2 linked regions of the Drosophila melanogaster genome follow. The protein of the gene in region 1 interacts with the protein of each later gene in a pairwise test. Each region holds a gene or a part of one and is shown on either strand. Other genes may lie near its edges.

Evidence for each region.
Region 2: the proteins of CG7382 (region 1) and gem interact in a two-hybrid assay, tested with the Drosophila melanogaster proteins (one large-scale study listed by BioGRID).

Annotation. Positions count from the first base shown.
Region 1 is NT_033779.5:5,518,077-5,521,705, reverse strand, and holds CG7382 (uncharacterized protein), read left to right. Parts: upstream 1-1,809; 5' UTR 1,810-1,893; coding exon 1,894-2,023; intron 2,024-2,084; coding exon 2,085-2,494; intron 2,495-2,549; coding exon 2,550-2,720; 3' UTR 2,721-2,813; downstream 2,814-3,629. Other genes in the region: Vps52 (vacuolar protein sorting 52), read left to right, coding at 1-328; cl (clot), read right to left, coding at 417-570, 1,006-1,087, 1,161-1,305; CG14020 (uncharacterized protein), read right to left, coding at 2,884-3,629.
Region 2 is NT_033778.4:10,122,765-10,127,609, forward strand, and holds the start of gem (gemini), read left to right. Parts: upstream 1-1,528; 5' UTR 1,529-3,675; coding exon of another isoform or gene 3,676-3,855; 5' UTR 3,856-4,441; coding exon 4,442-4,813; intron 4,814-4,845. Other genes in the region: CG46319 (uncharacterized protein), read left to right, coding at 3,676-3,855.

The sequences.
Region 1 (3,629 bases):
CGGAGGCATTATTCAGTTCGTCAAGGAGTGCGAGCACTTCTTCGAGAAGGAACAAATGGATGAGCTGCGCAAACAGGAGCGAAGAAGTCTGGCCTTGGTCGCCAGCTTCTCGGCCAATTGGAAGAAATCTCTGGAGGAGCTAAACAGGGAGGTGCTTCTCTCATTTCCCTCATTGCTGACGGGCTCACAGCTTCTGCAGCTTGCGTTGGCCAGTTTGGTGCAATACTATCACCGATTCCACAAGCTCCTCACGCCCAATGCCCGCGCCCAGCTGACCAATATCCACGTCGTGATGGTGGAGATCAAGAAGTACAAGAGCAATTACTGAGGGACGCTTTAATTGAATCTGTGTGTGTGTCTTCTGTGTATTCCAAATTGAGTAAAGTTCCAAAATAAATGTATGTAAGGTATACGACTTAATCCTCATCCTCGAACATCATCTCGACGAGATCCTGATTGGAGCAGCGCTCGCCATCCAGACGCTGTGGCCGCTTCCAGCGCAACAGAGTGGGCAAGAAGATCAGATGCGTGTTGGGATCCTTGCGGAAGGGGCAGTTCAAATCCTTCCAGCTGCAGTGAAAAACAAGTGTTAATTTATTGCTTACCACGGTTCAGTGATAACAGGCGGCATGAATACAACTCAAGAGCATTGTAAAGCTATCGTTGTTTAATGGTTTTTTTTATCATGAATGTTCTCGGCGTGTGAAAAAGTACTCGAGTGCTTATTTCATCATCGTACAGTTGGGGTTGAGTGACTAGTTTCACATTGCCAAAATGTTTTGAACTTGATAATCGAATGACAAAGGGTTTTGGCAACTGAATGACGTGGGATATATGCATATATGTACGTCATTCTAAATGACTAAGCCTGTGTTTTGAAACTATTTGGCTATTTCGAACCAAAGAAACCAGCAGATGTTCGCAGTCTCGCAGTGCATGAAATATTAATTCCTGCTTATCTAACTAATCGCAGCTGTTTTCTTCAGTTTGGCGGTATTAACTTACTATGCCCGCTCGCCCACATCCACATGCACGAAGTGCGAGTTGCCCGGGGCCTTCTTCAGCGCATCGTGTATCACCGGCTCCGCTGCAAACGTGAGAAATGAGTTTGGGAATCGGATAGGTTGCGGTTAGCCGCATTGGGATCACGGCATGCTCACCCTTGACGCAGTAGGGGCACCAGCTCTCTCCTTTCTCGTCCTTGCCGCCACTGAAGAGGACGTGGACCGGCTCGTCGCCGTTCTCCAGTTCCTCCATCTTTTTGGTGAACTCATCGTATCCCTTGACGTTGTGTGTGACCACCATGATCTTGCTGGGATTAGTATTCACCGCGCAGTAGCGTCTGAGTATGCGACCGAAAAGCGTTGGAAGCGACGTGATGGCGAACTTTGGAGTAACTGGCTTCTGGAGGGGAATGGACTTCTCCTAATTTATCAGGTTTTCTGACTTTTTGACGTAAAAAAAGCTTACTATCACAGATGGCAGGGTTACCAGCTTTCGAGCGCACTGATACATGGCCATTTTCAAGCCAATGAAAATAATAGATTTTTAGCTACGAGCTTAGATTTTGAAACGTATGAAAGGGAAATAAATAAGAACAGATACGTTGACTTCGAAATTTATTTGTAATATATATGATTTATTTGTAATATTATCTGTGTACCCTAAACATATAAAATTTACTTTCAACAATTTCTTGTTTTTAGTAAATATCGAAATAATAAAAACGCCATTCTAGCTGGCTATAGCCATTTTAGCGGGAATAGCCCGATAACCCGCTAATTGGTGAAAATGTGCAACACTATTTGTATCGAAAAACTAAACAGCTGATTAGAATTCTTTTTTTCGTAAAGTACGTTTATTTGTTTTTTACCATTGATTTCGTCGTGAACGATGTCACGGCTAGCTTTATTGCGCAATTTGGTCACTCAGCGGCAAAATTTGTTGCCCACCAACTTTGCCAGGTTAAAATGTGCGGCGGCGATGCACTGGAGTCCACATTTGCGACAGGAAGCGTCGCGCGGTTTGTGCCTCAAACTTCTCATCAGGTTACATCTGAAATATTTACTATATTATTCATGCAGATGGTGGCGGATCCCTTCAACGATCGCAGGATAACACCCAGGTGTCGACGGATGTGCGCCCCATTGGCGAGAAGATCAAGGAGAACACTAAGACGGCCAGTTATACGGCGATTATAATCGCCGGATTAGGGGTGACCTGCGTGATGTTCTTTGCCATATTCCGAGAGCTATTCTCCAGCGAAAGCCCGAACAATATATACGCGGACGCGTTAAGACGTGTGGTCGAAGATCCGCGGGTACAGGATGCAATTGGTGCGCCCATCAAGGGATTCGGCGAGACATCCAGGCGCGGTCGCAGACAGCATGTGGCGCACTCGAGCTACGAGCGCAATGGAAAGCCCCACATGCGGATGCAGTTCTATGTGCAGGGCTTGAGGAACAAGGCCACCGTGCAGCTGGAGTCCAGAAGGGTATGTGTGATGAATATCTCCCAGGCCGCATTTTTCTAATCCTCACTTTTTACAGAGTGACTCTGGTAAACTGGAGTATCGTTATCTGTTCGTGCAATTGGATCACTATCCCCGCACCACCATCATCCTTGAGGACAACCGTGCATTTGACCCCACCCCCGAGCCAGCGTCCGCTGGATCTTCCTTTGGCAACCTAGCCCTGATGTCCAATAGCCGGGATAAGTAGGCGGATCCTTCCGATCTTCTGCTCTCCTCTTAAATTCTCTGTACATTTGTTATATTTATTATTTGACTGACAATGAAATTGCATTGGGTAACCAAGCAGAGTCACCTTTAAGTTATTCGCCAATCGAGAAGTTGTCCATCTCCAAAATGGCGCCCGATTGGTGTCAGTAGAGCTTTTTCCACGGTATGATCTCCCAGGAGCGAACGATGTGGCGTCCGAAGAGAAAGTCCTTCAGCTTGTTCATTATGTAAAACGAGATGCCGAAGAAGGAGGCGAAGTACAGCCAGAACTGTCCAAGCCGTTCCCAAATGCTAAGATGATAGCGAGCGGCAACTTGGAGCACGTCCAGCTCCAGGTCAATGATGAGACCAGGCTGCAAGCGCGCTGACGTTTCTCTGTAGTATGTCTCCTGCACGGCCAGCTGGAAATATGCTGGATTGGCCTTGACTTGCGCTAGCAGCGATTCCATCTTGAACTGATCTATATTTCCGTTGGTAGAGTTCGTATCCAATTGAACCTGTCGGAACTGAGTCTTGATGTTGCGTCCCGGAAATGGACAGGTGAACTCTACGTATTGCTTCAGCTGCAGCTCTCCCTTCAGTTGAACGTGTCCATTTCTGAGGCGAGCGTGCAGAGGAAGCTGTAACTGATGGGCCAGCACGGACGGAGGCGATAGATCGCACTTGTGCTGCAGTTCAGCTTCAAAGAAGACCAGCAGATTGAAGCTCACCAATCGCGTGGGCACATCCTGCAGTTCCAGCTGAAAGTGCGCCCGATCTGTTACGCCATCGTAGTCCACATCCTCTGTCCAATATCTAGTGGTGGTGCAGCTATTCGTATAACTCTCCATTTGCTCATTGAACTGGCTGAAGCTGCTGCAAGCGACCAGGGATTCCTCCTCCTCGTACT
Region 2 (4,845 bases), on another chromosome or scaffold:
AAAGTTACTAGCTTCGGTTTTGAACTTTTGCATAAATTGCGTGCTTTTTGATGAAGAAAATGAATTCTGGTATTTCTATTTAAGTCACTCCATATTTCCAAAATGACTATATTAATAATATTTGTGATGTTTGAAATTTATATAGATTACAACTATATTTTAAGTGAATAGATTAAAGCTTAATTTAATAGGGCTAAGTACCTTGGATATAATCATTGGTTTTCTGTTTAGTTTGACCAACAATTTTATAATCTTAAGCTGACTTTGTCCAACTCTTCTGGACCGATTCAAAACGCTAACCCCGAACTAGCTTAGATGCTAACTTATTTAATTTCCGTGCTAATTTTCAGACCTGTAGCTCCATTCACTTCATATTACGTTTTATAATTTTGGCTTAACTTTTCTTTATGGCCGCCGACAGTTTTAATCAATGGCCATAAAGAGTATTTTTAAGCCAAATGATGCTAATTTTTTGGAATTGATAGCGCTAATTTTTGTCTACAAAAACCGCAAGCGACAGATGCTGGCTTATTGAGGCCCAAAAAAAAAACGTGCAACCAATATGAATGAAGCTTTTCCATGCGCGCCACTTTATTGCAGCCAATTGCGCCTTGACTTTCATTGTGCAAAATAAATTAATTTCACTTGGACCCCGTTATTGATAGCAATTTAAAAACAATTGAGAAATATTTAATATTGCCTTCAATTGAAGAACTGTAAAAGGAAGCACTACAACAAAGAATTATGATAAAACCGTTCAATTCCCAAAAATTTGGCGAGTCGGCACATGGCTTTGTCAATTAAGGCCTTTCTTAGCACGTCGATCTAGGGATAGAGATGAATGATATCGGTGGATAACAATTAGTCGCTATTAGAGTACCGTTACTAGACCTTAAGTTCAACACTAGGAATGTAAGAAATTTAGTTTCTTTCCCAATGGTTATGTGGCTATTCACATTAGTAATATTATTTAATGTTTGTATTAACTTATATATAAGTTGAGTTAGTTCCGCAGATCCGTAATAATTTTTACAAGTCTGAGATGGTCCACCCTAACGACAGATCGACGCCATACGCCCTGAGCCACTCTGAAGAGAAGAACGCCCACACAAAAAGGCAATGTTCTCTTTGGGGCAGCGACTAATGGCAACAGCTGTTCTTGTTGATAAATAGCATAAAGATTTTTGTCGCCTTGTTTTGTGAGAGAGCAACAAATGCAAGTCAGCCTCTGAAACAATCACCTGGAAGGATACGTGTGTCGGGAATGTAGATAGATAAGTTGGTCTGGATAGTGCGTGCCACGGAAAATTAGCCTTGCCTTTGTTTCACTTGCATTCCACAAAGACGCACGCACACACACACGTGCACAGAATGACCCTTACAGTGGGGCTTTGGTATTGGTATTTGTATTTGCGGGTCGAACGCCACGCTCTTTTGGAGCGAGAGTGAGAGAGCGAAGAGAGAGAGAAACATAACGGGCTAGTGTATTTATTTTAATATTAGCTTTGTGACGTTCGCTCACCAAATCAGTATTTTTCGTACCATCGGCGTTAAAACACATGTTCAGCGATTTAGTGCGGGAGTGTAAACTAATCTGAGTAACAACAACAGCATCGTCGGCAAAGCAACAACAACGGCAGCAGAAAATTTTAACACGTTGACGCTTTTTCTAGTGTTTATAGCGAGCGGAAAAGCTTACTAAGCGCGTAACAAGCGAGACCCCGAAATCTTTTTTCATCTCGGTCTTTTCGCCTTTGCGTCTTTGAGTGTGCGTGCCAAAATTCAAATACGTCATCGACGCGCGCAGCCTTAAATCGAAAAGGAATGAAATAATTGATATACACAAATGCCAGCGAAAGATTGAATTCAATTGCAGGAGCAACAAATAGCCAAACAAATTGAGGAAAACAATTCCTCCAACCGCACAGCGACAACTTCAATTAATTAACTTGTTATTGTGTAGTAGCAGTCCGCTTCTTGCCATTCACCGCGAAACGCAGCCACACAAAAGAACGTGCAAAACAGCTGGGACTCGAACTGAGAGTAACGGAACGTCGAGCAACAAGTGCAGCAGCAGCAGCAGTAGCAGCGAAAACAGCAGCAACATCAGCATCATCAACAACAATACAAAGCCCTTTCAATTGCTGGAGAGAGGGGTGGTCCATGTGTCTATGTGCACTCCAATGAATACGAAGACAACGGCCACTTTTGTTGTTGCCACAATCAATTAGAGTGATAGCAGGCGGCAGAGGAAAAGCAGCGCGGCAGCAGCATCCGCATCAATTTGCTGTCAGCATCTGAATCTTCGGGTCGGCATTATTCCGAAAAGTGTGAATGTGAGCGTAGTTGCTCCCGTTCCGCCTCCGTAATCGCAAGTGCTTGTTGTTATTGTCGCACTCGTCTGCGATCCGCGAACCGCGATCTTTGCTTGTGTTTGTAACGGCGACGTCGTCTTGATTGGAACGCTCTGTATTTCTTGACTTTTTTCGTGCTTTTTTGATTCCGAAACTGGTGTATCTGTAGTTTCCCGCTAACGGCGAAAATTCACACAACTCATTGATATTTTAACCTCGTGTCCGCGTTGGCTGCCGCTCGACCAAGGTTCTGCCGCACAAAATGCTCGTCTCTTTGGGCTTTTCGAAGCCTCGCTTCGTCGGATTAAAAGTGCTCCTCTAGCACGCTCGCAAGTTAGTCCGGCCACAAAAATAAGAAAACCCAAAACTTTAAAATATAACCATAACCCATTGAATTGGCAGAAAAAGTTTTCACCACCCACCGAATCGTACCGTTATCGTTATCGCGAAACAGAATCCACAGATAAAAAACGTTCCGTTTCACTTCGTCGTAAATACAGTGCTAAATCGTGTGAAACAAACTAAAGTCGCTGCAAAAACAGCCTAATTTGTCTAATGAAAGCCGAGAGCATTTGTGAATAATTAGCCCCGAAAAAAAACCTGTTCGCAGTCACCGCAAAAATTAGGCCCCAATAAAAAGTGACGATCCAAGAAACTGGCATCTCGCCCGCTTGATATATAACACCCCAACACAAACGTAAAGTTCGCGATAACACCTATACAAAATAAAAAAAAGAGAGAAACCAAATCCAGCGAATCAACTTCAGAGTAAAGTCGCAAAGTCAGTGCAAGCCAGAGCAAAATCGTCGAGCAAACCGAGTAGTTGTCCAAACGTTAAGTCGCAAAAAGTCTAGGAAACCACCCCTACAATCGCTATCAGATTTCTAGTGCTAATACGATCGAAATAATGTCAGCCTTCTGACAGTGTATAACAAATAAAGTTACATAATCACCGTTGCAAATCCAATTTTTTTTTGGAAGCGAACCCCCAAAAGTGCCCAATTGGAATGTCGAATATCTGACAGTGACCAAACAAACAGCGAAATCAGTCGAAACCAAACTCAAGAGAGAACCCCAACTGCAGAAGGAAAGCGAGCGAAGTTGTTATCAGTGAAAATATACACACATATATATTCGATTTCAGCGTAAACAACTACTATATAATGTCCGTCGCCATCTGACAGTGGTCCAAACAACCAGCACAAAGAGCTAGAAGTCGCCGCAGCCAGTGACAAGTTTCACCACAGCGAGTGAGACCTGTACCGTAGAACCAACACAAGACACTTAAGCTTGCAACACGGGCTAACCAATTCAGCGATAAATGGAGAAATCTGAAATACGACTGCAACGCATGTCTAATGAATATCAGTCGCAATCGAGCTATATGTACCTCCGGACCAAGATGCTGTTAAAAATCGAGAATACCCTACTTCGAAGCCATCGTCAGCGCGAGACCACCGGTATCAAGAAACTATACAATTCGTTTTTCGTATTGTTTTAATTTGCCCCCCCGGCCAGTCCCGAACCCTCTCAAAAGGCCCCAAGAACACAAAACGCACAAAAGCAAAATTTACAATTCCACTCAACTGTGAGCCAAGTTAGAAAAAGTTACAAGAAAGCAAGTTATACATGTTATACCTACGTTAAATAAATATATGAATAAACTAGAGATATTATTTGGTTGTTAGTAGAACTCACGTCAAGTGCATATGGTTAGCCCTCGTATATCCAAAGTGCTGTGCGACGAACGAACGATTAAGTAAATAAGTGTGTCATATGAGCATTTTGAACAAGCCAAGCCAAAATGTTAGCCTAAGCAAGTAATCAGTAAGTGTTGGTCGATCAATATACGGTTTCTACTTCGAATATTACTATTACCATCAATCACTTTTGTTGCATTTCGCATTGCACCAAAAAACTTGAGCAAAATTGCTGGCGAAATTACTCCGGTCGGAAGTGGTGTTTCGTAATACGGGTGAGAGCGATCACGGTCAAATAATTCAGGAGGATATCAAACAACAAACAACAATAAGCTTGGACTAATAGAGACCAGAACGCGATTCTAACGCCGTTAACTCACGTACCGAATGGCGCTTTCGTTTCTATCCCAAAACTCCGGTCTGTTGGATTTACAAAGCATATTCGATCCACAATATACTCATCATCAACAACAACAACAACAACTACTACATTTGAGCCACCACCCTCAACATCACATTCAACAACACCAAAATCAACAACTACAACAACAAGCGGAGCAAATTCAACAACATCAACAAGAACGCACCCTTTCAACAAAGTTCGATTTGAACCTGTTCAACGAACTCGACCAAATGGAATTCAACAATTTAAATCGCAGTCAATATCAGAATAATAATAATAACAACAGTATCAGCAATAATCAAAACTCCAACAACAATACCAACACCACTAACGGTATCAGTGAAAATCTAAATCAGGTAAGTTTTTTGGGGAAAAATCAGATATATGT